Drosophila melanogaster: one gene and its partners. Changing the gene in region 3 together with the main gene of any one other region gives a genetic interaction. Each region holds a gene or a part of one and is shown on either strand. Other genes may lie near its edges. The genes, in order: sd, kibra, sav and Herc4.

What was found.
Region 1: of sav (region 3) and sd, changing one suppresses a phenotype caused by changing the other (phenotypic suppression), as found in Drosophila melanogaster (one study listed by BioGRID).
Region 2: of sav (region 3) and kibra, changing one suppresses a phenotype caused by changing the other (phenotypic suppression), as found in Drosophila melanogaster (one study listed by BioGRID).
Region 4: of sav (region 3) and Herc4, changing one suppresses a phenotype caused by changing the other (phenotypic suppression), as found in Drosophila melanogaster (one study listed by BioGRID).

What each region holds. Positions count from the first base shown.
Region 1 is NC_004354.4:15,811,630-15,819,004, reverse strand, and holds the start of sd (scalloped), read right to left. Parts: upstream 3,707-7,375; 5' UTR 3,275-3,706; intron 855-3,274; exon of another isoform or gene 487-854; intron 1-486. UniProt on the Drosophila melanogaster protein: Transcription factor which plays a key role in the Hippo/SWH (Sav/Wts/Hpo) signaling pathway, a signaling pathway that plays a pivotal role in organ size control and tumor suppression by restricting proliferation and promoting apoptosis.
Region 2 is NT_033777.3:14,720,165-14,727,201, forward strand, and holds the start of kibra (kibra), read right to left. Parts: upstream 4,098-7,037; 5' UTR 3,410-4,097; coding exon 3,147-3,409; intron 1-3,146. Other genes in the region: CG7530 (uncharacterized protein), read right to left, coding at 4,995-5,225, 5,293-5,766, 5,876-5,983, 7,026-7,037. UniProt on the Drosophila melanogaster protein: Regulator of the Hippo/SWH (Sav/Wts/Hpo) signaling pathway, a signaling pathway that plays a pivotal role in organ size control and tumor suppression by restricting proliferation and promoting apoptosis.
Region 3 is NT_033777.3:23,057,300-23,064,807, forward strand, and holds sav (salvador), read right to left. Parts: upstream 4,006-7,508; 5' UTR 3,885-4,005; coding exon 3,073-3,884; intron 2,685-3,072; coding exon 1,731-2,684; intron 1,660-1,730; exon of another isoform or gene 1,658-1,659; coding exon 1,597-1,657; 3' UTR 1,310-1,596; downstream 1-1,309. Other genes in the region: Ublcp1 (Ubiquitin-like domain-containing C-terminal domain phosphatase 1), read left to right, coding at 4,361-4,520, 4,578-5,380; CG17111 (uncharacterized protein), read right to left, coding at 5,476-6,394, 6,457-6,654, 6,713-6,926, 6,983-7,163, 7,262-7,502. UniProt on the Drosophila melanogaster protein: Plays a key role in the Hippo/SWH (Sav/Wts/Hpo) signaling pathway, a signaling pathway that plays a pivotal role in organ size control and tumor suppression by restricting proliferation and promoting apoptosis.
Region 4 is NT_037436.4:1,310,824-1,320,048, reverse strand, and holds Herc4 (HECT and RLD domain containing E3 ubiquitin ligase 4), read right to left. Parts: upstream 6,354-9,225; 5' UTR 6,141-6,353; exon of another isoform or gene 6,075-6,140; 5' UTR 6,040-6,074; coding exon 5,959-6,039; intron 5,892-5,958; coding exon 5,714-5,891; intron 5,577-5,713; coding exon 5,340-5,576; intron 5,164-5,339; coding exon 4,437-5,163; intron 4,371-4,436; coding exon 4,109-4,370; intron 4,049-4,108; coding exon 3,725-4,048; intron 3,665-3,724; coding exon 3,374-3,664; intron 3,315-3,373; coding exon of another isoform or gene 3,312-3,314; coding exon 2,716-3,311; intron 2,659-2,715; coding exon 2,433-2,658; intron 2,378-2,432; coding exon 2,264-2,377; intron 2,201-2,263; coding exon 2,048-2,200; 3' UTR 1,719-2,047; downstream 1-1,718. Other genes in the region: sturkopf, read left to right, coding at 7,137-7,329, 7,389-8,119; Ctr9, read right to left, coding at 8,341-9,225.

The DNA of each region.
Region 1 (7,375 bases), on a different chromosome or scaffold from region 3:
TTGAACGGCATTAAGCAGTGCGGATTGGATTCGAACATCCCCGGTGGACGGTGGACTCGATGAAAAATATTTGGCGCAGCTAAGGGATGGTGTATTCGCGTAGGGTATTCGAGGGTATGCTGTGTCTGTGGAACACCATGTAACAGGTACAGAGGATAGACTCTATTATATTACTAGGCAAGCCAGACTGCAATGGTTTTTCAATTCGAAAATAGTACTTTTCAATTGACAAATAGTATTGTAGTGCTGATAAACATTACGCTTGCGAGTGTGCAAAACTTTTTGAAAAAGGTAATGAGTATTCAAAGAGTCGAGATACTCTTGCTCTTAGTCGATTTTAATTAAATGTTCAACGCTTTAGCATTATTGAAACTCGAATGACAAGAAAGAAACCAATAAGATTTAGGTATATTTGAATATTTTCAAAAGAATCAAAGCATCTGCATATATCCCACTGAATTGAGCATCAGATGCCAATCCACTCACCCGATAACTCCTTGAATTCCTCGAGGGAATCTAAATGATTTGAGAAGGGCGCCACTGTAAAGCCGATATCGCTGGTGATATTCCAAAATAAGATTCAAAAAACTCTTATGGGCTCTTTTTTTTTCGAATACGAAGAAAATCGTTTCAGTCAAACATATCACTGCTGAGTGTGCACACGTACGAGTCTATATACATATCTATCGAATCATTATAATTTCAATTATTTTGTAATTTATTTTTGTTTTGTATTCGCCTTGCTTCTTCCACACAGCGTGAAAAAAAAAAAAAACAATCCCGGACGGCAGCGGCAAAGAAACAAAAACTAAAATGCGTCTGGTTAAGAGAAACGCGCACGTCAAACTGAAATGTGCCGTATAGTTTCCACATATTTCTATTCTTTGTTTTGGCCGGTTCCTTTTCTGCCCCTGGTGTTTCGCCCATATAAACCTATAGGGATGGTTGCTCTAGGCATTCGTATTCGTGAGACAGCGGATAGAATGCAGTGTGGCACATACCCTCGCAGCGTACTATTGATAGAATAAAATAGAATGGAAGTAGAAGCCTTCAAATAGCCAGCCTGCAGTGTGGGGCGTCAAGTGAGAGTCTGGGTCAGCAGGGGTATGATATGGTATGGTATGGTATAGTATGGTATGGCATGGTATGGTATGGTATAGTCTATAGTCTAGCATAGGTAAAGGTGTGCTACGGAACTTCAGACAGGGGGCGAGTCAACACTATCAAGGATCAGAGGCATGGTATGCTATGGTATCCATATATGATATGATAAGGAATAGAATGTTATAGTGTAAGGTATGGAATATATGGTATAATAGGCAATAGTAGTTTGTAGTCAGCTATGTAGCTTGCAATGGTAGTTAGTAGAGTAAATAATGGTATAGTACTGCATAGTTAATCTGCTATATTAAGAAGAAACTGGACTTAGTTCAGTTTAATAAAGTATGGTATAGATGGGTGTAGTTAATAATAGAATGGCGTCGTATGGAAGCAGTTCGCCAGTATCCAGGACAAGTCGGGACAGTTCGATCCCAGTTCTATCCTAGGCACAATACCAGAATTTCCCGAAACGGAAACGACTGTATGTTTGGCTATCAAAAAAGTAGAATGCATATTGCACAGCTTGGAAATGCATGGCGCAGTGCAGGGGTTGGGATCGTTTTAGGGGGTGAATGTGCCATTTTTCATAATCTCGTAAGCACTCCACGCACACAAACACACACACACACACACACACACTCACACACAAAAGGACGAAAAGGAGTGTAATGAAACGGACAAAATAGCTGAACCGTGCATTAATATTATCACATGGCATTTCAGAATTTCTGAATTCAAACAGCAGCGGTTCAGTTCGGGATAATTTCCAATTAGAAAAACTAGAAACAGACTTTCCTACGCTTGAACTCAATTTCCGCCTCGAAAACTCAACACGCAGCTGCTCGTTCTGTTCAGTTCTGTTCGGTTTTAATAAGGGAATGTGTGTTCTTTTTCCTGCCTTTTCCATTCCTACCCTTAGAAGCCGCAATTTTGTTGTGCGGCAATTGGAATTTATGGTATGCATTCTGCTTTTTCATTTTCTTTATGTATGCCCCGTCGCATACACATACATAATGTACATACATATATATATATCCGCTTATACATACATATACATACATACATATATAAACGAAGAATGTGCCTGGATGGGATGGTAAGGAGCTCGATGATGACGTACTTAGCGCACTCAGGATCAAAGTTGGGATCCGCAATCCCTACACAGCCAAACGCACTTTGACTTTCAGCAGAAAACCGTAACAGGTAAAAATTATTGTTCGTATCTTTTTAGTGACAAATAATATAAAAGGACAGTGCAATGCATTATCAAATTATTGACAATATGTTTAGTATAGCATATATATCCTATATTCGTGTGAAGGTGCTATCAAAAGGATAATCTTTTGGTTACATAAAATACAGATCAATACACATGATGTAGAGATCATTTTTTAGGTCTTCAAATTATTCCCAAGTCAATAGAGTTTTATAGGAAATTAAGGTGGCGATTCTAACCCTATAAAGTGTACAAATATATTTTCAATCAGCATAACGATCTGTAAAAAATTTTAATTATTCACAATTGCACTATAGAACTTAAACTGTCTTAAGCGAAACACTGTACACGTATTAATTCATTGATTATTCATAGGGCATATAGAGTTCGGTGCGCTGCCCTTTCATTATTTCAACCCCTAAAGCAACGCACTCCCATTTTCTGCTGCCGAAAATCTTTAGAAGTCAGCACAAACGAATTTGCAACCTGGCAAAGGTTAAAAAGGAATTTCTGTGAGGTGCAACGACAAAATAATTAATAATAAATCTTTTGTCCTCTTAGCTTTTAATGAAATTATGTGAGGTAATGTTAATAATGAACATAAAGGAATAATGAAATTACGAAATACTTTTCTAAGAGCAAGTGTTTAAGAACAGGCAGCTAGAAAATAGACAACAAATGTGCGAAGGAAGTGAAAACTAGAATGGTTCATTAGATATATTTACGATTTTGATCGGATATAGGATATTTTAAGCTAAAACAGGTGACTAAACTTTAAATTTTCCGAAAGCCTTTTGAAGTTTATATAGTTCAAATATTGTTGGAAAATTACGTACGTTTAACTTAACATAGGAAATTTAAGGCAGAAAACCATAATTGTGTAAAGAACTCATAATTTGCTAAAAGTTCTTCAAATTTATCATTCATTGATATGCTGGAAATTGAGTAAGTACTTACTTATTGAGTAAGTAACGCAGCAGTCATAAGAACGATCGGTCAACTAAATGGGCTGAGCTTGCTGTTTTTTTTTTTAAGTAACTGCGATTAACTTTATCACAATCGGATATGTTTTCGTTGCTCTTAAAGATATTCGCCAATGACTCATGACATACTCATTCCGTAGGCTACAGAAGCCCATAGCTGTGATAGCAACTGGTCATATACCAACGTGAGTAATACATTTTGGTTGTAACTCGTAGAGTATATGGTGTTCGGCTTGTCCAAGTTGACTTTTTCATTGTTTTCACTTCATTTTCTTTTATCACTTATCAATAGTTGCGTTGTTTGCAGAAAGGTATTACGATATTATTGTAAATATACACAGCTCATTTAGAAAATTCATTTCGTAGAATGCGATTCAGAAGTAAAAATAGTAAGTGAATTATTGTAGTTTTGCTTGAAAGTTTTTGTTTAAAACCGACAAGTTGCGAACAAGTGTTGTGGCAAACAATGCCCACAAGTATACCAAATCTTTTTCAGGTTTTTTTTTTTAATGATTCCAATAGGACATTCAGCTATTCGATTAGTCTTCGTTGCTCACTATTGCCAGTAAAGTAATAAAAATAAAAGTATATGTCCATATGTACATATATCTTTTCATAATGTGTATCTATGTATATGTGAACAGCAGACAAGTTGATGGCTCTTAAACTGAGGTAATAAATATATCGTAAAACAGCAGATCGCGTGGACATGTCAACATATTTCGCCAAAATCCAGATCGACAAAATCCGTATGTATATGATTTTTTTGTGCTGCGAATTGTCTCCCACACTGCATTTACAAGCTTCTGGCCAAAAATAAGATTATGCAATGCTGTGCAAAATGAACAACACATGCGAGAAAAGCTCTTTTCGAAATCCGCTCGGTTGGCAAAATATTTTCGAGCTAACCCCCCCCCCCCCCCCCATTCATCTTATAAGAACCACTGTGTTATCTTAAACCTGACTAATCCATTGAATTATTCATCTTGGCAATCGAAAGTTGGTGGCAGCTTGCCCTCTCTTTTCGGATTTAGAACGCTTAGATTTAGATTTGGGTATGTATGTATGTATGTATGTATGTATGTATGGTTTACATGTACGATATGTATGAGATATGTGCAGATGGGTGGAGAGTTTACTCTATAGCGATGGAGAGAAGGTGCCCTGCAGTTCAGGTCTCCGTTTTCGGGTGACTTTCTCAAATGAAAACCCGCCATGCATGTGCATGTGCTTTGCATTGAGAACCCACGAGGAAAGTCACCAAAGAAAAACCAGAGATCGACAAACTTTTGGGCGCTGGATGTGGAGTGGGTGTGTGGGGTGGGGGTGGAGTTGTAGGTTTATGGCATAGAGTTTGGATTTACGAGGTGTGTCTTTGTATGACTGGGTAATTCGGATGGGCAACGGACCTGCCTGTTGTTCTGTCTTCTCGGCAACTTCCAACTCGCTGCAGCTCAGGTTGTTCTGCAATTGCAGCAGCCCAGTGCTGCAAGTGCTCGAGCTGGTGATGTTTTTCATGCAGCCAGCTTTTTTTTCGTAGATTTCCTTTAGGTTTCGCTATTCACGAGTATGCCCGCCCGGAGGAATAGGAATACGACTTCGAGTACGAGAACGAGTACGGAACGAGTGCGGTACGAGTACGGTGCGTTGTCCACTTAGTTTACGGAATTAAAAGAAATCTGTTCGCGCTAGATTTAGACTCTGATGTCACCGTCTCCACCAACAACATCAAACGTTGTTGTCGTCTCCGGCTGGTCAAAGGCAAGGCACTCACTCTTGTTATTATTATTAGCTTGTAACAGTAACTGTTTTTCAGCTTTTCAGTTTTTCAGGCTCTGCGCTGGGCGTGTTATTATCTATGTCGTTGATAACACGATGGAGCGGTTTGTTAATTTATATTATACATGTGTACAAGTTATGGCAGCGTCTTTGAACGGGTCCGTTGACGGGGGCGGGGGGTTTGTGCTGACTTTCAAACGAAAACCGAACAAATGAAACCCTTTCGCTTTGGATTATGTGGCTCATTCGATACTTGTTTTTGCACTACTTTACTTTTCGATTCTACGCGTGCACACACATGCAAACTCGCAATACTTACTCACATCTGCAATAATTCATGAATTGGTTCGGAGTTCTTAGGAAGTGAGAAAGATCTTTTTCGGATTCCGTTAAAGTTAAACAGGCAACACACACACACACATCTGCATCTTCTCAATCTCACTCTATTCTCGCTCTCCCGCTCTCATCGCTCTCCCGATATATGTACATATATATATAACTGTGTATTTTGTATGAGCAGCTTTGTACAATATCGTGGTCTTTGTGAAAGTGAGAATGTGTCAGTAAGCCTTTCAGTGGAAATAAGGCGCAGCTGCGGCAATAAGATGAAGAAAGAAGAATGGCCACCGGAGAGCCAACTATTGATGGGATAGGTTTGGTTTAGACTTTTTCCTACACTTCGTTAGTTAATGGAGAAGCTCGTAATTGAGATGGGGCTCCTAGGCGATGACGATTCTGATTCTAATTCCGATTCTGTTTCTGGTGATGAAGAAGACGATGACGATGACGATGGTATCCCGTACATGTGTATTTTCTCATCTGCTTGGGGCCTAAGCAAATAGTCTGTTTTTCTGCACAAGTGCAATTCTAATTGCATGCATGTGTGTGCACATGTGTGTATTCGCGTTTATGGGTGTGCAAAAGCGTACGCACATGTGTGCAAGCACATGTACATCTGTATTTAGATATGTATTTTTATGAAATTTTGATTTTTTTGATTTCTTTTTTCATTTTTCTTTTTTTTGGTGTGCCACCTAGAGGCATAGGATATTATGCTTATAAAGCTACACACGTCCATATCTTGCGATGCCCTCCTCCCCTCCCCACACACGCCTACTGTTTATAAGATAGATATAAGAAATAGATAAAACAAAAAGACCAAAGAGAGCGCAAACGAACGAGCGAGCGAGAAGGTGAAACAAAAAAGTGGCCACATCTTAAGATACATTTTCTTTAAATCTTTCCCATACAGATATTACAAACACAAAACAGAACAAAATTAAAAAAAAAAAAAAACAAAAAAAAAAAAGAAGCAGGAAAAAAACCAGAAGAGGCAGCAGAATATCCAAAATTGCAAATGAAAATCGCTTTTAATAATCTTAAAAACCCACGCACACTTTTACAGCCGCTCACGGCTGTACGAAGCAAAAAAAAAAGGGGGGCGAGGCGTCTGCGGCGGTGGCAACGGCAACGGGGGGCGCACTCACAATACACCACACACAACAACGAGGCAAACGAAACAACGATGACGACAACGAAAAATCGCGGAAACACTGCGAAAAACGCAACGCGCAGAAGCGAGAGAAACTCATCGACTGAATCCAAATTCGAATCAATACAAAGAACGACGCCGACGTCAGCGTCGATAACACACCATAGCTGGTCGGTCGGGTCTGGTTGATGTTGTTGCCGTTGTTGCTGTTGTTGTTTGGCTGGATTCGTGCCGTTGTTGTTGGCTTGCTTGGCCTGGCTAACTCAACTTTAACTCATTCTCTGCAAAATACAGCAAGAGCAGCAGCAGCAGCAGCAACAACAACAATGTGGAGGACTGCCAGCATAACTATAACTGGTGGATCTGGTTGTTTAGTTTCAGTTTCCTAACACAAGTGATGACTACACTGGCCATAACACATACACACACACACACACGCGCGCGCGCAGAATACAACCCGATCAAAACCCAGAAAACAGCACTATATCACCTACACAAGTGCATCCTACACACGCACACACACCCAGAATTGTGGGGCTAGAAGCAGAGCAAGAGCGTGAGAGCGCCAGAGAGAGAGAGCGACCGAGCGAGCGTCGCTCTGCCAGTTTAAAATACAAACACATACGCATACGCGCATGCATATATGTACATTGCTCTGCGCTCTCGCGCTCGCTCTCGCAACGGGTGTGACTAATATCCAACGAACTCGAACTACAACTACATGCCGCTGGCGCCTTACCACACGATTTCGATTTCGCTCACTTTGCAAGCCTTTTGCTTTTGGCTTTCGGGTGCCATAACTCT
Region 2 (7,037 bases), 8.3 Mb from region 3:
GTCCGCTCTCGAATTAAAATGCCACAGGTGGAATTAGAACGCAACAATCTGGTTGGGACTAGAGTACACAGCGAGAAATATGGCAACATACTGATGATAAGGTTAAGTTAATGTAGTAAGATATACCAATGAACTGACTCATTTATTAGAATACCGTTGCACCGTTTCTTGCGGTGCACCTATTGCTTTTTTATATCTTTTTCTGTGCTACCGATCGGATGCAGATACTCAAGTACAGCCCCCGCCGCTGGCGCCACTCTGTCCGACTTATGACAGCGATCGTTAACCGCTTTCGCTAGGCCTTTTTGGCGGCGATTTGAGTTTATGTAAAACAAACGAGTTCGAATCACTATCCCAACTGGTAGCCAAACGATTTTGTTGCTATTTCATACTTTGATTTTTTCCCCGTGCTTTTTTGGTTATTTCTTTTTTTTGTAGCTCCTATGAATAGATCGAAATACTGTCACCAAACACGTTTTCTGTCTAAAAACGCACACGAAAAATATTCCACTATGTCGCCGCCTTGTTTATGGCTAAACAATTGGTAAAAAAAATAATACACAAAAACTTGCGAAAAAATATGAGCAACGAAAGAAGAAGACGGGCGTCGAAAAAATGCCAAATCGCATGGCCAAGTCAAGTCGTTGTTAACTTTTGTTTATACAAAAAACAAAAGAGAGCCAACAGCAACGAAAATCACAAAAAATACCGCCCGTCGAAATGCTGTATGAACATTTACTTAAGTTGAATACGCTGCGAATTTTAAAATCCATTATTTTGATCAGTCATTTTATTAGTTTACAGACAAAAGTCATCTAATTAATTGATTGAATCTTACACGATTTACTATCTAATGAGGATAATGCCTAAACTTAAGCCGAATTTGAAAATTATAGACATTACAAACAGAATCTACTGTTAAACTATTGCAAACATGTTTATTTAATTTTAGAAAACCTTAGAAAAACCTGCGTCAAAGCCGGCCCAAGCAATTATCGGTAAAATATTTCAAGGGTATCGATAATTCGACCTTGCATGCTCATATTGGAATAGATATTTATTTTTTCTGTGATTTCTGTTGGCTGTGCTCGAAACGTGGCGAGGCCTTTAAAGGTTGCCCGAGGCCTGGCTCGCTTCGCTTTATTGTAGAAATTTATTTATGGTTTATTGGAATTTTTGCGCGCTACCGGCAGCAATTTTGAAAATTCAATAGCAATAGCAAGTTGGATGCGGGGGATCGATAGACAGCCGAAGAGGGGACCAAAAAGCGTATATGATTTGGATACAAAATATGCGCGACTGGGCAAAATACCAATAAGGGGTGTATACAGCATTAAATAGTTTTGTTTGGTCAATAGAAATGGTAAAACTATTTTGGAAAAATATGGAATAGTTAGTTAAATTCGAAGACATACTTTGCAGATGTATACAGAAAATACCAATAAAACATTTACTCTTGTTTTTATTTCTTATATTCTATGGTATCCCTCTTCATAATCTGATTGGTTTTTCAAATAGTAAGTAAATCCCCTAAGGTCATTTAAGCTTTAAATTTCTATAACCCCGAAATCGGAACGTAACGCTCATAGATCGCTGACTTTTTGTGCCCACTGGCAGACATTTGAACGACATGTGTGCATTTATAATCTACTTGATGCATAACCCTAGCAAATGCGCAGATGTTTCGTTTCAATTTCAAAGGCGGGCGGGCGGAAGAGCTGAAATTCCACAACGCTTAATTCAGTGAAACATTTTCAACAATGTCCATGCGATTTGAAACAAACAAAGGGAATGTTTGTGTTAATTGAAAGCGTGAAGCGCACACAGCACCAAACGAACTGAAACAATAAGGCGTACACAGATAGAAATGCACTGGAAAAAATTAATATTCAAGCTTTGATGGCTTAATAAATCATTTGCAACGTGATATTGAAATTATAGAGTGTGTCTAATGTCAATGAAAATGCTGTACAACTGCAGAAAGGCAATAAGCATTTGCTATCGAGCAATTGAAGATACAAAATCCATCTAACACTACACATTTCTCTATCTGTGAAAAGCGAAAAATTGAACTCAGCGAAAGAGAGGGCGAAGAATTTCAGAAATCAATTATTTCGAAACTGCAAAAATTCCTACGTACATTTTGCAATTGTTTATGGGCAAAGCAACAGACAGAGATGGCGAGTGGGGCGGCAGCGAGGGGCGCGAGCGAGATGGAAGACAAAAAATGTGAGCGAACGGCAAACTAAAATGTATCTATGAGATACATGGCCTGATCGCCAGCGCTCTCGCTCGCTCTCCTTTGGCTCTCTCGCACTCATTACGTATGAGTTTGTTGGTTTTGTTTTCCTTTTATTTTACAGATCATTCGCCGAGCTTTATTTAACTTTTGCTCTCTCTCACTCGAATTTTTGTTGTTGTATTTCCCTGGCTTTACAATCCATTTTTTGTTTGTTGCCACTCTCTGTTCAGTTCAGTTATATTCGGAGTCTTAATCATCGCATCGGAATGTTTACTCCAAGTTTTTCCCCCGTTCCGTTGCGTTTTGTTTTGCCTGCTGCCGCTGCTGTCTTGTTTAAAATATGTAATTTATTTTGCTGCTGCCTCTTTATTTTATTTTCCTTTTATTTTTCTTTTTTTTTTTTGCTTCATTTCGCCTCCACCGATCGCATTCCTTTACACACACAGCTGCAGCACGCACCTTTTCTTTCCGGTTCAAGAGCGCTTCGGAATCGGAATTTATATGGGTTTTTTTTTTAGCTCGTTTGCCGGAGCTTCCTGAATGAGTGAACTGCTGATCTCTCACCTGCGTTTTATGCCTTCTTAAGCCACTAACAACTTGCCAAGAATTTTATTCTATTTTAATTTGATTCTCAATGAGTTATCTGCTTCACTTATTAGCCATTAAGCAGCAATTGGGGTTTATAAGCACTCTTGATAGTTTGCGATGTTAAAGCATCTATAACTTATTTAAAACACAACCTGTTGGTTTGGTCATTCGTTATGTATGCCTCATTTCTGATAATTGTTCTAGTAGTTTTAATAAGTTTAAACTAACTTTCCAAATGCAAATATCTTATAATTATATTTCAGATCGCCCTTGTTTCAATTTCGTTTCTTTAATTGACCCTTTCCGGAACACTTACCAATCTCTGGGATCCAGCCAGGTGGTCTTCTTGTTGATATGATCTATGTAATAGGTCTTGCCATCGAAATCCTTGGCGATATCCCAGCCATCGGGAAGTGGGAAGTCGCTGTGGTGTTGTTGCTGCTGCTGATGATGCGTGTGTTGTTGTTGTTGCTGTTGTTGATGATGATGATGATGTTGCTGTTGCTGCTGTTGGGGTCGCAGGTGGTGGGGATGCAGATGATGCTGCGATTGCGATGCGGTTTGTTGCAGATTCGGCATTTTAACTTTGTTTCTCGCCGTGTACTTTGGTTAGTCTGAGAAAACGTCGTTGTTGCTGGATTTTTCACCCGACGCGCGCCTTTTCTTTCTTTTCGCTATTGCTATCTACGTTTGCTTCTTTTTTCGGGGGGTTTCTCTTTGCGCTGTTTACATTAGCAAAGACATTTCAATTCCGTTTCTTTTGCTCCGGCGATAATGGAGACCGACCCGCACACACACACACACAACACGGCCACACGGTGACGGGCGTAGAGGCACACACCGAGCCAACTCGAATACACACGCGCGCAGGGGAGAGAGAGCGGGAGAGCGCGGGCGCGCTCTCAATTATTTATTTACTTTTTTCGTAACTGCATTCCATTCCAGCTCAAACACACGCACACATATGGGGGACGAACACAAGCGCACACGATCACTGCTCACAGTTGGTGCTGCTTCTTTTCATTTCTTGTTGTTGCAAGCGTTTGAACTCCTTTACTTATTTTCTTATTTTCGCCTAATTGAAACTAATTAACGACGATAATCCAACCATCCACTTGGTGTTCACAAAAAAATATGTACTTCAGTTTAGTGAGTTCGCGCCGTCGCCGATCTCTTCGGTTCCGGAATTCCTTGGGGGAGCAGCAAAAAACACGAGTAGCGCGCTTGATGACCGTCCGATTCGGATTCGGAATTTGTTTTGGTAACATTCGCTGCTAGTGGTGTAGCAGAAAACATCGCATTGCATATCGATACACTCGCGGCGATGTTATTCGATGTATTGGTTGATATCGATATTATAGGCTGTATTGACGCGGTTGCAGAGATGCGATATTTAACAATCATGCACGAAAAGTATTTATTGTTATTTGGCTTGTGTAGTCCCCAAGCATAGGTGTAATTGTTGAGGGAAGAAAATAGGAGTTGTACGTTCAAAGATCGGCTTGGTAACAGGAACTAGTTCGGTTCTTCAAGCGATGTTAATCAAAGCCAGTTCCGATAGATCATGTTAACTCGCTCTGTTAACAATTACTGTTATCTTAATCCTAACATTTCCGTTACATTTTAAAAACAGAAAAAGAAAAAATTTAAAAAAAAAGACTGTAAACTGAGTTACGCATTTCGAAATCAATATGTATCCCAACCATAGATAGAAAAATAAATTATGTTTCCGAAACATAACTTCAATAAAACCACAATTTCGCTTGCTTTGTACGTTTGATATTGTATTTGCATTTTATGAATTGTAAAAATTGAGTCAACAAGACTAACACAGCTTCAGCTCAAGACACATGCAATTTCATTGACATTGTTTAATTGTATATATTAAAGGAAATCAATTAGGATATAAAGAGAGAAACCTTTTTGCCGCTTATGCGATGCCAACTATCTGGATCTGGATTGTCTAACACGAAACCCTAACTAATTGGTAAATTAAACATAAATTAATCATATCGGTCAACAACTACAACTAAATATTAGTTATTAGCGGATAAAGAGCGCCCCATAAACTATTTACACTAAGCTTTAGTCTACTAGAGTCCCGGATTCCATCTCCGCTCCTCGGATCTTCGGATCTTAACTCAGATGTTCGGATCTTCAAGTTCTAGGAGAGAACTGGTGCAGTGCATCCGTTATTCAGGCGATACTCGGCATAGACCAGTCCGGTGTTGTGCCAGTGATAGAAGGCGGCCACGATGATCAGGTGCCACCAGTTGTGCGAATGCCCAACGAAGTCCACCTTGCCGGTGAACCAGCGCTCCGGAATCTTGGCCGCATAGAAAACGAAGGCGACGAGGCAGAGCAAGTACATGAGCACGATGCGGGGCACCATCAGCTGCAAATGGTAATGATTGATGGATTAGCAAATGACAAGATTCCATAAATTTCCAACTGATGCCTACCCTGACTAGCTCGTTCTCCAGACCGCCCATGGCCACCGCCCAGTGGCCCAGAGGTATGATTCCATAGGCAGACCAGAGTAGCAGCACCGCCACCTTGCCGTTCATGGACACATTCAAACGGGGTATCTGCACGGCAATGGCCAGTGCGAACATGCCCAGTGCAATCGTGGAGTACAGGGTGCGCAGGAAGGTGTGGCACCAGAAGGCATAGTACATGCCACTGATATAGATGGCCACCAGCGACAGCGAAATGCCCAGGAAGTCAACGGACAGAAAGAGCTCGTAGTGCTCCTCCGATTTGCAGGAGAAGATGTGGTATATGGCGGACATCAGCATGCACAGACAGAAGCAGACCAGCAGGCAGACCACCAGCACCTGGTCGCTCAGGGAGGCGTGGAGGCGCAGGAACTGCAGATCGAAGATGGTCAGTCCAATGAACAGGATGCAACCGGCCAGATGGCTCCAGATGTTGATCTATGAAAAATATAGCAATAATAATGTTATAATAATAGGGAATAGAGTTTAAGGAAAACTATTGTAGCTCCAATTGGAATGGAGTATCATTCTAGTGTGGCAATCTTACCGTCTCATTGGTCCACCAGAAAATGCTCTGCAGGCACATTTTTGTGGAAGGTAGAAAGGTGCGGTATCCGCGACGAATGTACGGGTTGAACTTCAGGTGACTGGGGGCCTGTATCGAAAGCACAAGTGAATAAACATTCCAAATAAATACAAAATTTTCCAAGCCGATAAGACATGCAAATCGCATGCGTGTAGCATTGAAAATAAAATAAAAACCAAATAGACAAAATGACAAAATAAAATAGAAACAAACGGAATAATTCGAGGATCTGGCACCCCGCCGAATGTAAAAAAAAAAAACCAAAAAGCTTTCCATTTGCTTCAATTGAAAGAAAATAAAACTAATTAATCCAATTTGTGTTGTTAGCAATCTTGTATGGGAATTGATTAAATGCCAAATACTGTGTATATTATTTACTTTCTTTGAATTTAACTAGCTAAGTTTTATATATTATAAAAAATCCATTTAATTAGTTAAACAAGTGCTAAGCTAGTTTTGCACTGCATTTATGTATTATTACCTTAATTAATGCCTTTCAATCGGAAACAGTAATTATTTCAAGCCCGTTTTAAGCCCAGTTCGAAGTCGAATATTTAACTTGGTCAAAACTAAGCATGGTCCGAAAAACCCAAGAAATTCGATTCGGGAGTTACCTTGAGGATTTTCACAAACATATATGTATGTAACTTGCATACCACCCAAAGAAAACAACAGTAGCTTCTTTTTATTTGCCACCGCTATTTAAATATTTAATGCCCGCGAAGCACAGAGCTTTTTATTTGTTGCTAGTCGCGACCTTGATTCAGTTGGCATTTGGTGGGTTTGTTCGTTGTCTAATTGTATTATTTGGCAATTGCTGCCAACTCGACCGCCATGGCGGATTTCACATATTTAAGCGTTTTGGCCATTTTACAACGGTCGCTTAATAATGCTTTTCTGGCCATACATACATACGTATGACGATAACAATTGGCCAAAATCAGTGTTAAAGCCATGTAAAATGCAATGAGTGAATATTTTCTGCGATTTGTCCCTGATTCTGACGTATTTTTTCAATTCGCCAAACAAAATTTGCGATCAATTAGAATTCAGTGCGCGACAATTGGCGACAAATTGACCCTACCAAAGTTCGCGCGTGGGGTTAACTCACATCATCGAAATT
Region 3 (7,508 bases):
TTTTAGCCGCCAACTGCTAACGCAAAACATCTGTATAAGCCGCCGGATTATTGTGATTAAGATAATGCGGATTAGAACAGTTGTTTGCCTATGCTATATGCATGATCGCCACCCAACACATCAATTCACTCACGTTAAGAATGAAGTTAAATAATGTGTCCCAACTGACGATTGAGCGACTGCCGATGGCTACAAGTGGAATGGAATGCTATGATGATGGCTGCGATGGCGACTCTCCAGTGCGACTGAGTGCGCGATCCAATGGATCCGTTTAAATATTGGAGCGATGGAGTCGACGTCGACTGCGGCAGCGGCAGCGACGCACCAGCGGCAGCAGCAACAACAAGTGGGGCGAGAGCGGACCGCCGACGTATCTTGGCTTTTTATTATACATTATTTTTGCACTTGAGAACCCGGCGGCCGAAAAGGTGGGCACTTCAGTCGGGAACAGTTAAATATTTTGACAAGACGAGTAGTTCTCAAAACAAAAAAAAAAAAAACACTTTTTTTTCAAATTCAAATTTCAAAAAAAATATGCTAAAATGTATCTGTGGGATAAGCAATGAATGGAAATGTATCTACGGGATAAGCTATGAATTGAAATGTATCTGTAGGATAAGCTATGAATTGAAAAGTATCTGTGGGACAAACGAACTTGTATCTCACAGTACAAAGTAATCATACCAAACCCCTAAATATATATTATTAGTCAATAATATCCATCGAGTCATATTTTCTGTTTACTTATCAATTTAGCAAAAGATATGACAAATGTAATTACAATCTAAAACTCTCGTTTTATGTATCCTGTTTAATATGTTCAAAATATAATAAAACACAACTTTTGGCCTTTCCAATGCCGAATACTCCCCAGACTTCGAAAACTTCTTATCAGCAGTAGAAACTGTTTTTGAGGGACCTGCAGAAACAGTGACTATAAAGTTTTATAAGCATTCGATAAGAGGCGACTGAATGAATTATCAGGTTCGACTAAAAATAAGCATAGCCAAACGAAAACAAACATAAGATTCACTTTCTATTGGAGCGCTGTTTTTTTTTTTGCCAATACAGAATCGGCCACGATTCACTTGTGCCCAATGCATAATTTTTGCAAGCGAATCGAAAACTTGGCATGGAACTCGGAAATATGTGCCAAGCCAAGTCGAGTAAGACTTGGCCACCAACTGTTGCCCTTTATTTACACTTCGCGGCGCTGAATTTCCAAAACATCCGTCGATGAATCGGACTCCCAGGTTAAATACCTGTGGGGTTTCAGGTGGCACATCGATTACAATTGCGCTCGGCAGGTAAGATGATCAGTAAACCAGTTTAATTTTCTTTGCTCACATTACAAACAAACGCCAAGCTCAAATCACATTAAGGTTATATAGAACGTAGCACAATTCTACGTTTCATCAAGGCATTCGAACTGTCATGGATCTGCTTGGCTACCATCTCGTCTGGTTTCGTATAAGGCACTGATTTCGCGATGAGTCGATGGTTAAATAAGTTAAAGGTCGATTACAGGAGCACTATGATGTGCATATAGCTGCTGGCGAGTATGTGGTCTGAGTCAGTCGTCACCTGGTCACCGGGTCACTGGTTTTGGTTCTGGTTCTGGCCGGCGCGTCGATTCTTCTCGAGTATCAAAGCGCGACTGAAAGGTGTAACAAGAGAGTAGTGGCTTTTCGGAGAGCGGAGAATGCAGCGGCATGTGGCCGCTCACTTACCGGTAGCGCTCGTAGAAGCCCACGATGGTGCCCAGTTCCTGCTTGAAGAGCCGCACCAGCATGCTGTCGAAGCCCTCCAGCTCCGGCAGGCTAAACATGTTGAACTGCAGCAGGTGGTCCTTGGACGAGTCCGCCTCCGAGTAGACGGCCAACCACTTGGGGATCTCCTCGAGCAGATAGGGATTGGCCGGCACCAGTGCATTGTGAGTGTGCGTGGGTGGGGCATAGAGCGACGCCTCTGGTCGAATCGCTTTCGGTGGCTCCGCAGACGTCGTGTAGACATAGTAGGAGGTCAAGCATGGATGCTGACGTTGGCTCTGCCCGGTATACTGGTTCTCATAGTAGGTGCCATGCATCTTGGACACCACCCGCCGCCAGCCCACCGGCAGACCTTCGCGCTCCAACGGATGATTCCAGTGCGTGGTATGCGCATTGTGATCAATATAGTATTTCCGACCGTGTAGCGTGTACTGAGTGGCCCAGCCGGGCGGCAGAGGCAGCTCCTCGGGCTCCGTGAGCGATTGCTGTGATGGTACCTTCTGCAGCGACCCATTGGCACTGCCTCCCGCTCCGGCAACCGCACTGGGCGGAGTTCGCGGTGGGACGTACAGTGATTGCACTGAGGTAGAGGCGCCGCGAACACTGCCAGAACTGCCACCACGACCGCTGCCGCTCAGGGATCCTCCCCCGCTTCCAGATGGCACCGCCAGGTGACCCTGATGATGATGCTGCGGAACCACGGCCAGCGTGGCCGACGAGGCCGTCGTATTGCTGTAGATGGGCGACTCCGATCGCTGCGACTGCGTGGCGCGCATCGAGATGACGCGGGACGGATTCTCGTAGATCGGGTACGAATCGCTGGAGTAGCTGCCGCCCAGGTGAGCTGCCAGTTGTGTGTGCTGCAGCTGCTGCTGCTGCTGTTGTTGTTGTTGTTGTTGCTGCTGCATCGGAGAGCTGTGGAAACAGAAGAGAAAATGTGTTTAAAAATGTTGTATATATCATATATATTCCATTATATTCCTCGTACAGAAAATCATATATTGTGTTATTGTTTTAATTATTGTAAGGCGAGTAGAAACCGGTTTTGTACATCAACTTTTCTTATTGTAAATAAATAAAGCAATCTGTTATCAAATAAAAAATCTTTGAACAATAAATGTTTCGAAAATAAAACATTTCGTGCATTGTCATTGTTTAAAAGTTATAATAATATTAAGCACTTTTTGACAATATGTAGTTTTTACGGATTATTCCTTTAATCAAGAGCTGCTCATATTATCTCTACCCACTTTATCAATCGCGCGCTATCTATTCAAATATAGTACTTCAAGAGGCAGTTTACCTAGTTGGCTGATACCTGGGCTGTCGCTCCCTGATGGACATGGCAGCTCGATCGAACCGCAGCGTGGAGCCAAACGGCGTCGAGGCGTGCTGTTGATGAATCTGTGGATGCTGCTGCTGCTGCGGCGGGACGGCGTAGTGAGCGGGCGAGTGTGGCCGCTGGGGCAGTTGCAACATGTTGGCATAGGAGGCGCTTAGCAGGCCCTGATCTGCATCGTAGCTGTCACCACCCAGATGGGGATGATGCTGCCGCTGGGTGGTGGAGTAGCTGCGCTGGAATCCTCCGGCTCCCGGCGCCGGCGATGATGTGGTCTGCAGCAGTGGCGACGACTGCTGACGGCGCATCCGCTCGATCTGCTCGAAATTAACGTAGTTGCTGCTGTTCTGACTCAACTGATTGCTGCTGGCGCGGAACTGGTGGGGCGGCAGGGGAGGATGACTACGCACATGCGGATGGGAGGGGTGGGGCAGAGAGTGAGGATGCGAGTGGGAGTGCTGCTGCAGGGGCATCTGGCTCTGTGCTCGTCGAGCATGGTAGTAGTCCGGCTGCGAGTCCGTGCAGGAGTAGGTGTTCCGACTGGTGCTCGAGCTGCGCGGATGGAACTCGCAGCTGGGCGAGGTGCTCGCACAGCGCTGCAGCGATTTCTTCTTGGCCCGCTGATCGCTCCACACATTGATCACCGAAATATCCGGTGGGGTGTCCTTCTTCATGTACTTCCCCACCACGCCCTCCTTGTGCTGGGACTTCTCCTTGTTCCGGCGCGAGAGCATCGTCGGTTTTCGGTTGCACAGCAGGATCGTTAGATAGTTCATGCAGACTATGTTTCCGCTCGGATTCCGGATCGCTGTCTTTGTTTAGTCCATTTTCGAGCTAAATTTATGCTGTACGATCGGTTTTTGTGTTTTCAGCTGGTGACCAGTGTGGCCAATGAACTGGCGAAACAATCGCCTATTGGCAACTTGGGGACATTCCTCATGTCTTTGCATGACTTTCTTTAATTGCTAAATATATAATTTTAAAAAATTTAAAATATTTTTTAATAATCTCTGAAAAATATAATCAAAAAATCATTATTTTTATTGCAAGCCGATTGCAATCGATAACGCCGGGCGTTGCAATCGATAGTATCTATCGACTTCTGACAACTCGACTGTTTATATGGTCTTCTAATAAATTAGTTAATATCTTTAAGGTACACTATTGCAAACCACTTGCTGGATTCTATCCAACAAACATACATTACCATATATGGTGTGATAAATTAATAGCGGAATAGAAACCAGCTAAGATGGAGGTCAAAGAAGTGGTAGTGATTGTAAAATGGAGTGGTAAGGAGTACCCGGTGGACCTCACCGACCAGGACACCGTGGAAGTGCTGCGTCACGAGATATTCCGCAAGACACAGGTGCGTCCGGAACGTCAAAAGCTGCTCAACCTGAAGTACAAAGGTGCGTGACACTCCTAGGCTTCGGGATATTTCAGTTTTAAGATCCAATGACTTGCAGGAAAGACAGCAGCCGACAATGTGAAGATCAGCGCTTTGGAGCTGAAGCCCAACTTTAAGCTTATGATGGTGGGCTCCACAGAGGCCGATATCGAGGATGCGTGCAGCCTGCCCGATAATATTGGCGAAGTGGTCGACGACTTCGATGACGCCGATGAACGCGAAGAGTCCGTGGAGCACTCCGCCGTCTATTTGGCCAAGGTGCAGCGTCGTGTGCGAGACTACAAGATCAAGGAGTTAGCGCCGCCGCGTGAGGGCAAGAAGCTGCTTGTCCTGGACATAGACTATACCCTATTCGATCACCGATCGCCTGCTGAAACAGGCACGGAGCTAATGCGTCCGTATCTGCACGAGTTTCTGACTTCCGCCTACGAGGACTACGACATTGTCATCTGGTCCGCCACCAGCATGCGCTGGATCGAGGAAAAGATGCGCCTGCTGGGCGTGGCCAGTAACGATAACTACAAGGTGATGTTCTATCTGGACTCCACCGCCATGATATCAGTTCATGTGCCGGAGCGCGGTGTGGTGGACGTAAAGCCGCTTGGTGTAATCTGGGCCCTGTACAAGCAATACAACTCGAGCAACACTATCATGTTTGATGACATCCGTCGCAACTTCCTTATGAACCCAAAGTCCGGCCTAAAGATCCGCCCATTCCGTCAGGCTCATCTCAACCGTGGCACGGACACCGAGCTGCTCAAGTTGTCCGACTATTTGCGCAAAATCGCTCACCACTGCCCGGATTTCAATTCGCTAAACCATCGCAAGTGGGAGCACTACCATCCCAAGAAGAACTCCTGAACTTATCCTCGGTTGCAAACATTTGTTAGATTTATGTTAGATTTATGTTTATTAAATTAAGATGCATTTTATACGCATTGCGTTCCAGCCGTCAATTAGAGTGTGTATCCGCCTTGATCCGCCCAGTGGACTCTCCTCGCCTCCAGGTACTCCTCGTGCAGCCTGCGTCGCTCATCCTCGAGCTTGGCCAGCCGGCGGTAGCGCTGCAGCACCATTCCACAGCCGAAGAGCAGGGCAACTTGACAGATCAGCCAGAAGATGAACAGTGCAATCAGCAGGCTCTGGTTGATGCAAACGTTATCCAGGTGCAGCGGGTCGTCTATGCCAGCAATGAGCAGCACTCCCCGCTCGCCGTACAGATAACTATTGGTGTTGCTCTGGTCCGGACCGTGCACCCGGATATTGTAGTTGAGGGGCAATTCCTCCTGCGATCTGGTAAAGTTGTCTGGTTGCGGAGCCACATCCACCACCGTGGAGATGTACACGGGGTTCTGAACTCGTAGGTCTTCCGGTCTACGATCTGGTTGGTCAGCCTGTCGCCTTCTCCGTTGCCAGGATGAACTAATACAATTGCTGGGCGAGCAGCGCTCCACGCAGAAGCGAATCTTTACATCGAAGCTTACGTTGGCCGTTCCTGAGAACTTGAAGGCATGGAAGCGAGCGCGCAACATGCTCCTGCTGGCTGTGTGTACCCTTTCCAAAGCGGGAAACACACTGGCATCTGTGGGACATCCTCGCTCGTCGATCAGCAGCACAAAGTTCTCATTGTCCGCTGTCTTGGCCACCAGCGAGGTAGCACGAAAGTCGGGTAGTGGTGCCAGCTGCAACTCCATGTGCTCTGCCAACTGCTGTGGGCTGTACTCCGCCACAATCTGTAGTTCCAGGTTCTGTCCAATCTGCACGTCGTTGGTCTCGTGCTGGTGGGATAGATCCAAAATCTGAAGCGAGATGCTGGGATGCGGATGGGGCCCAGTGCTGCTGTTGTAGTGAACCACACCCTCGTGTGGGAACATGCTGCAGGTATCGATTGTGATAGAATTAAGCATTTTGAGGGATTCTATTAAGAATACACTCACTGTTCTGTGTACTCCAATGAGGACTCCAGTGCAATGGCGCTGGGCACAGGCTCTGAGCTATCCACACTGCTGTCCCGAACCGAAACGCCCAGCGATGTGGTGGCATTGCTCTGTATACAGCCAACCTTGATGAGCCGGTCGCCCTGGGTTTGCACATTTGGATTGTTTTGGATGACCACCAGAGCAGATATGAACGTTCTAAATAATGCAAATGATATAATTAAAAAAATGGACTGGACATTGGACTTCATCTTACCTTTGGTATTCCTGTGTCATTTCGTAGGCACGCAGGATGCCACAGCGGTTCTCCTTTACCTCGCTGCCGATCTGGAGCGTCAGCAGAACACTCCCATTGCCCGATCCTCTGGCCAGGCAGTCCTTGGAGTGCATGCTGGCATAGATCTTGCCGACGAACCAGTCCTTGGGATTGTACTTAATGGTCATCTCATCGCGGGTGCAAAAAACCCGGACTGCGGAATAAGGAATCGATTAAGATTGAGCATACCACATCCCCAGAAGATCTTACCATCCAGGCACTTGACCCTCCGCATGTACACCGAGTTTTCACGGAGCTTCAGGCTTCGCGGACCCAGGGATACAATGTCCTCCGAGTGGAGGAGACACTCGGACAGCGAGAGTTGGTTTACATAGTAGAAGGAGACACCCTGGCAGTAGAACTTCGCCTCGTGGGAGCACATCGCCTGACACTGCAATACGGAGGTAGAAGCCATCAATCAATCATCCGACCCCCCATCCATTTCGATTACAATCATAATGCGCGACATCCGAAGCGCGGCGGACACACCTCTTTTTGGGAGAGGCCCAAATACCTGGCCTCCGCATAGATGAAACTGCTGTTGGCGTACAGCTCGTAGGAACAGTTGTCACTTTCGATGGCCCGTTCGTGGCACTGGTTCTCCATGTACTCCTCGTCGTATGGAGCCGCGCGAAAGGCGTCCGGCTGGACGGTCTTGTCCCTGTCGCTCAGCATACATCTGCCGAGGCGGGGAGACGGACGCTGGCCAGGACCCGCCTCGCCGCGGAAGCTACGA
Region 4 (9,225 bases), on a different chromosome or scaffold from region 3:
ATTGGGGGCAATGCTTTGTGCACTCGAAAAAAGGTGTTCTACAATCGCCTCTAGTCTAGCTTCAATACCATTAAGTACTTTAAAAGTGAGCAGATCCCAGATATTTTAAGACTACAGGTAGGTATTTGACAATATTATTATATTGTTGCGAGCTTGTATTTGAACAGCTGCCAGATTTGGCGAATCATTCGGTTTCGTTTTCGATCCATTGCAGTTGGTTATTTTTAAGCGGCTTATTGCCGCTGTTTTCAAAACTGGGTCAAATTAATGGAGGGCCGTCGCAGTGTGGAAACGAAATTGAAATTTGATACAATTTCAATTGGTCAGCGAGTAGGCAAGCGGAGCAAGGGGATACATCCCCGCCAGCTATATCCACCGATTACTCATGTCTCCCCCATAGCCAAACACATACGCCCTGTTGACCCTCTTTGTGTGCCCCGCCTGTTTGTTCCTGCTATAAAACCTGGGCAAACAAGCTCATCCCCGGGGAGCGAGGGACAGGTGAACCCCCCCAGCCAGTTTACAAATATCCTCGCAGACGATGTGTGGAGTGAAGACCCAGGAAGCGAACGGAGGAGCGAGCGAAGCGGCGAAATTGAGGTGCCGGTGCCTAAACGCTCGCTTTATTAGAGGAGCATCACAATAAACCAGATCTCTTCGATTGCGGTGGCTGCTGCACTGGGAGAATCATCTTCCCATATTATTTATTATTTCAAAGAACCGATCATGAAAAAGCACCCTTGATTATCATTGAAAGTTGTTAGGAAAGTTAGAAACTGCGTAAACCATTTGCATTTATGAGTTAAACTAATCCTTGAGGAAACGTTTCTCGCAGTGCATTCCTGCTTTTGTTGCTCTTTTGTGCCGCCGCTGTGGCTTTTGTTGCGTTTGGTGTCCAAGTTCAAATCGTGCAAAGGAAAGAAAGCAGCGGAAGACGCTGCACAGATCACGACCACGGGCAAACCGGCAGAACCGCTTTTTTCGTATTTTTTCTTTGCTAACTTTTTTTTTTGAGTTATACACTCATGTGCGCGGCATGGTATCGCTGGATTTTGTGGCCCGGACATTTGTTAGCTGTCAGGATATGCAAAAGTTGCGATGGTAATTGATTTTGTAGGCCAGCTCGCCTCGTTCGCGGCATATAAAGCGAATTAAGAAGTTTGAGATGGACAAGCGACCAGGATGGCACACATGTAATTGCAAACTGGGGGCCTAAGTACCCATAATTTCACAAACTGTCGCCCGAAGTCGTTACTTTTTTGTGGTCGCAGTGCTCTACCTGTTTGAATTTCTTTTCCGATGCGGGTACCGTTAGCTTGACCCGGTAAAGGTGACGTTTGGACAACGTTTGTTGTAAGCGAATTGGTGTTGGTGGATAATTTGAAGAAGCGGGGCTAGGACGGCATATATGCGCGCAGTTTTCGAAATCGGTCGGTTGGTTAATGTCAAGCACCGCACGCCCAGCGCATGCAAATGAGCGTCCGAAAAAGTTCTCGGCGGCGAATGAAGAAATTAACGAACGAAATCCGCACGCGGCCGCGCACCTTGCCAAAGTTGAAGTTGAACTGACTTCGACGACTTCGATTTGCCGCCACATTTCGGGCTCAGCTGTGCGCCAACGGTGCTGCCAACGCGGCTCGTTTCCGGACAGAAGCGAAGCTATCGTTATCGGGTTTAAAGCTTAACCGTTACTGCGATCAATGAAAATAACAATATATAAGCCATATTATATAACTTTATTGGTAAAAGTTACACGGAAATTTAGACATTTGTTGTTGTCCTCAGACTGATGCACCAACCTTATTTACCTCCTTGAATTCCTTTCTCTCCATAACAATGCGATATTAATAACTAGTCTAGAGTTTAAAGCTATAACACGACATTGTACTTGCTGATTTGATCGCTGATAAATGAGTGTTCCACGTTGGGGTTGTCTTTGAAAGTAGCCAATTTTCATTCTTCAATCCAAAATGCGCGAAATCCGAAGATTTCGGAAAATACCTGTAGTTTGAGGTCGATGTAAAAAAATGGGTCCAGATCAGATCGATCAGACCAGGCTGAAGCCCTGCGTCTGCTGGATGGCCTGTAGCAGCTTGTACTTGAGGCGCTCCTTGGTCTTGTAGCGCGGCAGATCCAGCAGATTGAAGCACGTGTGCGCCACGGGCAGGAATCGTTCGTCCGGGGTGGGTTGAATGGTGAGCTAAATCGGTACGGATACGGTAAAGGACACACTTTGCAATATAGGTATAATCTAAGAACTCACTTTAAGGGCTTTCATGCCCTGGATGGGAATGCGATCGCTGCCAGTTAAAAAGAGGAGAAAACTCTTCTTTTCCGCCTCGGACATGTCATGAATAACCTCCCAGAACCATTTGATCTGCGGCAGATACAAGGTTAATGTCTAGGAAGACCATCTTTAGTTTACAACTCACTGTATCATCGACCGAAGTGTAGCCCTCCCGGTACTCGCAGTTGTCTTGAAGCGCCTGCCAGTCGTAATCCTCATTTCCCACCACCACGGCCATCAGCTCCTCCGGCTGGAATATGTGAATCACGCGGCCAGAGCACACCTTCATAAAGCCCTTGTGAAACGCATTGTAGTGCAGCTCGACGGACTTGTTGAATACGAAGTCAACATAGAGATCCACAAACTCCTGCCTGAAGTTGGATAATAGTTAGCACAGGTGCCGCAACAGAAATGGTCACTACACTCACCTGTTTTCCAGTGTTACGGCTATCTCATTGCCGTTGGGCTTAAGGCACTTCGTCTCCGCCTCCCCGAATACATCCCGCGATATCTCAAAGGTCAGATCGAAGACTTCCTTAAAATCGTCGCCCTGGTAGTCGAGCAGCGATTGCATGGAGTTGGCCTCCGGAGGGGAAAGCTGACGGAGATCACTGAGATCCACTGGCTTGCCCAGCAGCTTTTTGAACAGAGCCAGTGGGAATGGCAAGTTGATGATGGTGAAGTTATAGATGGCCAGACCGCAGAGAACGCCAATTAGGAAGTACATGTTTTCCGTCTCGAAGGTGAGATCTGCAAACCAGAGCAGACGCGACTGCTCGTACTCCTTAAACATACCGTACTTGGGATCGAGCAGATCCTTGAGCAGCAACATGAAGAACTCCTTGCGCACGCCACCCGCGTCCTCCGCCTCCTCGCCATGGAACTTGATTTTCAGCGGCTTCTTAAGATCACTCTGCGAATAATGCTGCAACTCTCGAAGGGAATCCTGCACCAGATTCTCACGCGTCACGTTGAGCACAATGAACTGCGAGATGGGCATCCCGTAGTTGAAAAAGGAGAATGCCTGCTGGATAAAAAAGTAGTTATTAACTCATAAATCATTTCTGTTCGGCGTCATTAACCCACCATGGTAGCCGCATTGGCCATGGCGGAGTGCATCTGGAGCGCCTGATCCGCTTGGAGTAACGCTGTTTTAGCAGACTGGTCGAAAATGAATGAATAGTTGCAAATATTGAAATCTCTGGCAGTGTCGGCCATGATCCATTTAACGTACTCCTGCTGCACGTCTGCATAATCCGAAAGATCAGGCCAGTAAAAGATTTGATAGTTTAGGCGATCATGGCGCTCGTTGTTAATTTGGCAGAGCGTTTTCATCAGCTTTAGAATGATCTCGAGTTCAGTGTTATATGGCAGCAGCTAGATTATGAATAGAGAATTAATTGACACTGGTATGGCCCTATATTGAAATCTAAATACCTGTTGACGTCTTTCGGCGCTGGGACTAGCGGCAGCCAAGCCCATTTTGAAACTTATAATATGGATGACAACATGCAAGAAGTTCTGGACAAGATGCTCGAAGTATTCAGCCGGTGTTTGGGCCAACCACTTGTTCAGCACTTTCCGTGGGTTCTCTGCTAGCTTAAATATGGCATTGGCAAACGGAACCTGCAGTGACTTGTAGTGCTTGGAGTTGACGAACTCGTGGTAAAGTGGGAGCAGAAGATATAATCGCATGCTCTCCACATCTGCCGGTGAGCAAACCAGCGAACCAACTAGCTCCTTGGTTATATTGTCCCAGATCTGAAAACAATGAAATGATTAAAACAGATACCAATGATGCTTGTAATGGCGAAAACTTACCACCTGCCTAATGCTTTCATTTTCCACAGCGCGCAGATTGTCGAATGCTAGTTGGGCTGCTTTCAGATCCAGTCCATGGTTGCGAACCGAGCATCCAAAGTGTCGGTCGTGATCCAGCAGAAAGGAACCATTCCAACACGCCTGGCTTCTAAATATTAGTTCAATAGAGCTCAGTAGATCCATGTCGCTTTGAAGGCCCTGCTTGCATTGAGCACACTGCTTGGTGACTTCTGCTGTTAGGGTTAGGATCTGGGATTTGGGGCTGCAAAGTAGATATATGTTTATAGTTTTATATGTTTATACTAAAGTAACACGCTTCTATAGTTACTTGTAGTTTCTGAAATCCTCGGGCGGCACCTTGTCTACAAACAAAGTTGTGGTCACAATCGACTGATCGCCACCTGAGAAAATCTGTCGGATGACCAACGAGACCTGTGAATCATTGGATTGCAACAGGGCTGATCCGCTGGGCGACACCCAAGGACCGATGACCACCTGCGGCAGCATCAGGCTCTTGGTACTCCTCGTGCCCAGCTGCCCAGAGCTACCCAAGCCAAAGGCATAAACTCTGCCGCGCGATGGAACAAGCGCCAGAGTGTGCCGATTGCCACAGGCCACCTGAGTGATGGTGCTGCCCATTAGCTCCATTACCATTCGCGGTAGCATCTCATTCGAGCTAAAGCCATGACCCAACTGCCCATAGGCGCCAGCTCCACAGGTGAACACCCCTCCCTCGTTGGTCAGAAAAACGGAGAACTCATCGCCGCAGGCCACAAATCGCACGCCCAGGGTGCGCAGCGTTTTCAGCTGGGTGGGATACGAGCGGTTCGTTTCGTCATTCAGTCCCAGTTGCCCGCAGTTGTTTCTGCCCCATCCGAACACCGCACCGGACTTGGAGATGAGGAACGAGTGATTGCCTCCACAGGCAATTGCGGCCAGCGGAATTCCCAGCAGAGTGGTTAGTCGGAGGGGATAGTTGCAATGTGTCAAATCATTGGGGGAGTTCACGCCCAGCTGACCGTAGATGTTGGAACCCCATGAATACAGCTCGCCACCTAGAAACGTCAAGGATGATGTTAGTCGGAAGGTATCGTTGTTTAGCTTTAGATAAGAATTGTTTAGTAATGCCCTAAACTTGGGAAATACAATTATCTTATCTTGTTTCAAGTAGTTCTGATGTGTATCTGTGTATCTAGTGAATGGAATCCATTAAATTTCACTCCATACTTACAACTGGTCAGTGCCAAGCTGTGATTGTTGCCGCAGGCGATCTGCACCACCGTCTTTGTGACCAGTTGCCGCACAACCTTGGGCAGCTGCACGATCTCCTTATCGGTGGCATGGCCCAGCTGGCCGCAGTCGTTGTCGCCCCAGCTTAAGACCTGGCCCCAATCGGAGAGCGCCAATGAGTGGCGGCTGCCGCAGCAGATCTGGATGATCACGTAATCCTGCAGTTCGGGGATAAGCACTGCAAAAAGTCGGCCGGAAGATGATTGCGGGGTTTAGACTCGGTTCACAGCAGTGGCTCGCGTAGTTGGTGAGTATGGAGATGAGGTGGAGTTAGTGGAGAGTGGACAGACAAGACGATAAATGAAGATTACATACGAAATGGCGACATACGTGGCCTTTTGGTGGGCAGATCGTGGCCCAGCTGGGAGTAGTCGTTGCTCCCGCAAGCGTAGACTTTTCCAGTGGCGGTCAGAAAGAGAGTGTGTCGGTGTCCACAGGCGACCTGCTGTACAGCAGTGTCCGGTGTCCAGGGTATCTGACTAGGTGTGAGGATCTGTGAGGAAATCAATGGCATACAAAAGTAATATCAGTGGGCTTATATCCGAAAGTCATCTATCTACCTGCTCGTCCTCGATTCCGCCAAGTCCCAATTGACCATGTGACGTGCTTCCCCAGCAATAGAGCTCTTTGCCAGATGCCATTGCTCTGGATCCGCCCAATAGCTCCTTCGGTTGTTCTGGGTATAATAATTTACTTGTTGGTGCTACAAGAATTTTCGAGAATGTCCCCAATTGTTAGCTACATTCTTTTGTGTCCACTTGCTCCCGATTCCAATTGCTCGGTTCATGCCTCGTCAAGCTTTCGATGGGTGTGCCTTCAGAATCTAAGTCTAATCCTGAATCCTGTTACCTACAACGCTCTATAAATTTTAGGCCTTCTAGAAAAAAAATATAAAAACTCAAAAACCAGCAACAAAAAACCAATAAATAATGGTGGCGATGCCAACTGGTTGGGATAGGGCCACATTGCCCACGTTGGCAGCCCTGACAATGGGCTTAAGCTAGGGCTGCATCGCTTGCGGACTTTTAAGATCCGCTTTGAAAAACCTTAAGATCGGATAATTCTCTAGAACTTATGCTGAACACGAATATCAAAATGTTTTCTCAATTTTTTCCGAAAAAAGAAACAATTTGCGATTTTACATATAAGTTTTGGTTAATAAAAAATGTATACGTAGGTAACTAATGTTAGGGAGTACTTTCGAATATTTAATGATGATAGGTAAAAGTTAATATGAAATTTATAAAAGCTTCTAGTACTGTAAAGAGATATCAATAGGTTGACAAATAATAATTTACGCCATAGTATTTTTTTTAAAGTTAATGCATTTTGGTTTTTTTCTTTTTTAAACAAAATTATCTACACTTTTTCTCTGTCTGAGCAATCGTTATCATGGTAAGTATCCGCTAATATAGAACATCTGATTTTGGCATAGCTTGCCGCCCTGGTTTCTGTATCAGCCGTTTTTAAGCCGCTGAACTTGTGACCTTTGTCCATTCTTGCTGGAAACAATTGGCCGAAACACATAGCAGTGTTTATCAGAGCTATCAACCCTGGGGATAAACCGCGCCAATCCTCAAGATTTGAAACTCGTGAAAGGCTGCAGCCGAGGTGGTTGGACAAAGGAAAACCGGTTGCCACGGGGATTAGACAACTCATCGCGTGTGAAAAGAGTGGGATCAACACAGGTGCCGATTGATTTTCAGCGCAGTTTGCCACGCCAACAGCAGCGGAAAATATGCAGGAGGCCTACGTCAACATCAACTCCATTCCCACCCACATATTCACATGGGGCAGGTGGATTGAGGAGACCATAACCGAGAAGGAGATCGTCATCTGCATAACTGGCAATCCCGGTTTGCCAGGTTTCTACACAGAGTTCGCAGGCACTTTGCAAAAGGAGTTGGGCGATCTTCCAGTTTGGGTGATAGGTGAGTGTGCTGGCGTTTCCACATTGAGTCGGTAATAGCACACTTGATGTTCCCTCCAGGGCACGCTGGCCATGATGATCCGCCAGAGGCCAGTATTCGGGAGGTTCCTCAACTCAGCGGCAACGAGGAGCTCTTCAATTTGGACGGACAAATCCGGCATAAAATCGCCTTCATCGAGAAATACGTGCCAAGTGATGTCAAGATCCACTTGATTGGGCACTCCATCGGAGCGTGGATGATCCTGCAGCTGCTGGAAAACGAGCGGATACGGAGTCGCATCCAAAAGTGCTATATGCTGTTCCCCACCGTCGAGCGGATGATGGAGTCGCCCAATGGATGGGTGTTCACCAAGGTGGCCATGCCCCTGTACTCCGTGTTTGGCTACATTTTCTTCAGCTTCTTCAACTTTCTGCCCGTGTGGTTGCGCCTGATGCTGATACAGATCTACTTCTTGATTTTCTCCATTCCACGACAGTTTCTGGGCACCGCCCTAAAGTACTCCAAACCATCGGTAGCGGAGAAGGTGGTCTTCCTGGCCGACGATGAGATGGCCAGGGTTCGCGGGATTCAAAGGGAGATTGTAGAGCAGAACCTGGACCTCCTCAAGTTTTACTACGGCACTACCGACGGATGGGTACCAATCTCCTACTATGACCAGCTCAAAAAAGACTACCCCAAGGTGGACGCCCAGCTGGACACCAAGAAGATCGACCACGCTTTCGTCCTGCGCCACTCGCAGCCTATGGCTGTAATCGTAAGAGACATGATCCAGCAGCACAGACGTGTTTGAAGTCGATTGTTGACCTGGCCCAGACAATCAGCCCTGTCCATTACCTAATCCATCCATGCCAATAGACTTGGGAATCCGGATTACGGTTGAACAGCAAACCAATAGCAATTACTCCACTGCCTTTGTGTGGCAATTAGTTCGTTTTTATTAGTATCTTTTTGCAGCTCTCGAAGACAACTCTAAATATAGTCAAAAGTGATTTAACACGGTTGAGAGGTGCGTTATTTTTCCGGGGACCCTGATCTGCTACGGGATTCGGACTTGGATCGGCTGCCAGAGCGAGAGCGGGATCTTGAACCCGACGGCGAGCGGGATCTCGAGCGGGAACCGGACTTTGAGCGCGATCTCGAACGGGATCCCGACTTGGAGCGAGACCTCGATCGAGATCCGGACTTGGATCGAGATCTTGAACGGGAACTCGACTTGGAGCGAGCACGGGACCCAGATCTATCCGATTCCCCGCCAGATTCGATGCGATTCCTGGCGCGCTTCCGCTTAGTTGCTTCATCACTGTCACTCCCAGATCCAGATCCACTTCTGCTCCTGCTGCGCTTGCGGCTAGCCTCGCGATCACTGCCGCTTCTAGAGGCACTGCCACTTCGGCTACCACTGCGATTTCGACTCCTGCTTCTACTTCTGCTCTTGCTGCGCTTGCCGTCAGACTCGGATTCGCTGGTGGAGATCGTCTCCTTGGAAAGCACCTTGAGGCGCTGCTTGGCAGAAAGCTTCTCCTTGGACTCTTTAACCGGCTTCGGCTTCTTGCCCTTCTTCTTTCCCGACTTGCCACTGGCACCTGGCTCTTCCTCGCTGTCGCTCTCGTACTTCTCCGTTTTGCGCTTGCGACCGCCACCCTTTTTGCGTTCCCCCTTGCCCTTCTTCTTCGAGGGACGTTCTCCCTCACGACGAGCTCCATCGTTATCGCTTTCGGTACCGGAGATGTAGTCATCTTTACGACCTCGCCCACCACCCTTCTTGCGTTCCTTTTCAGGTGGAGCGTCCGCAATGATGAGCATGTTCTTGGTCTTCTCCACGTACTCCTGCCGCTTGGCTAACAACTGGTCCCTGGAGGTCTTTGCCTCCTCCTCGCGCCGCTTGCGCTGCTCCGC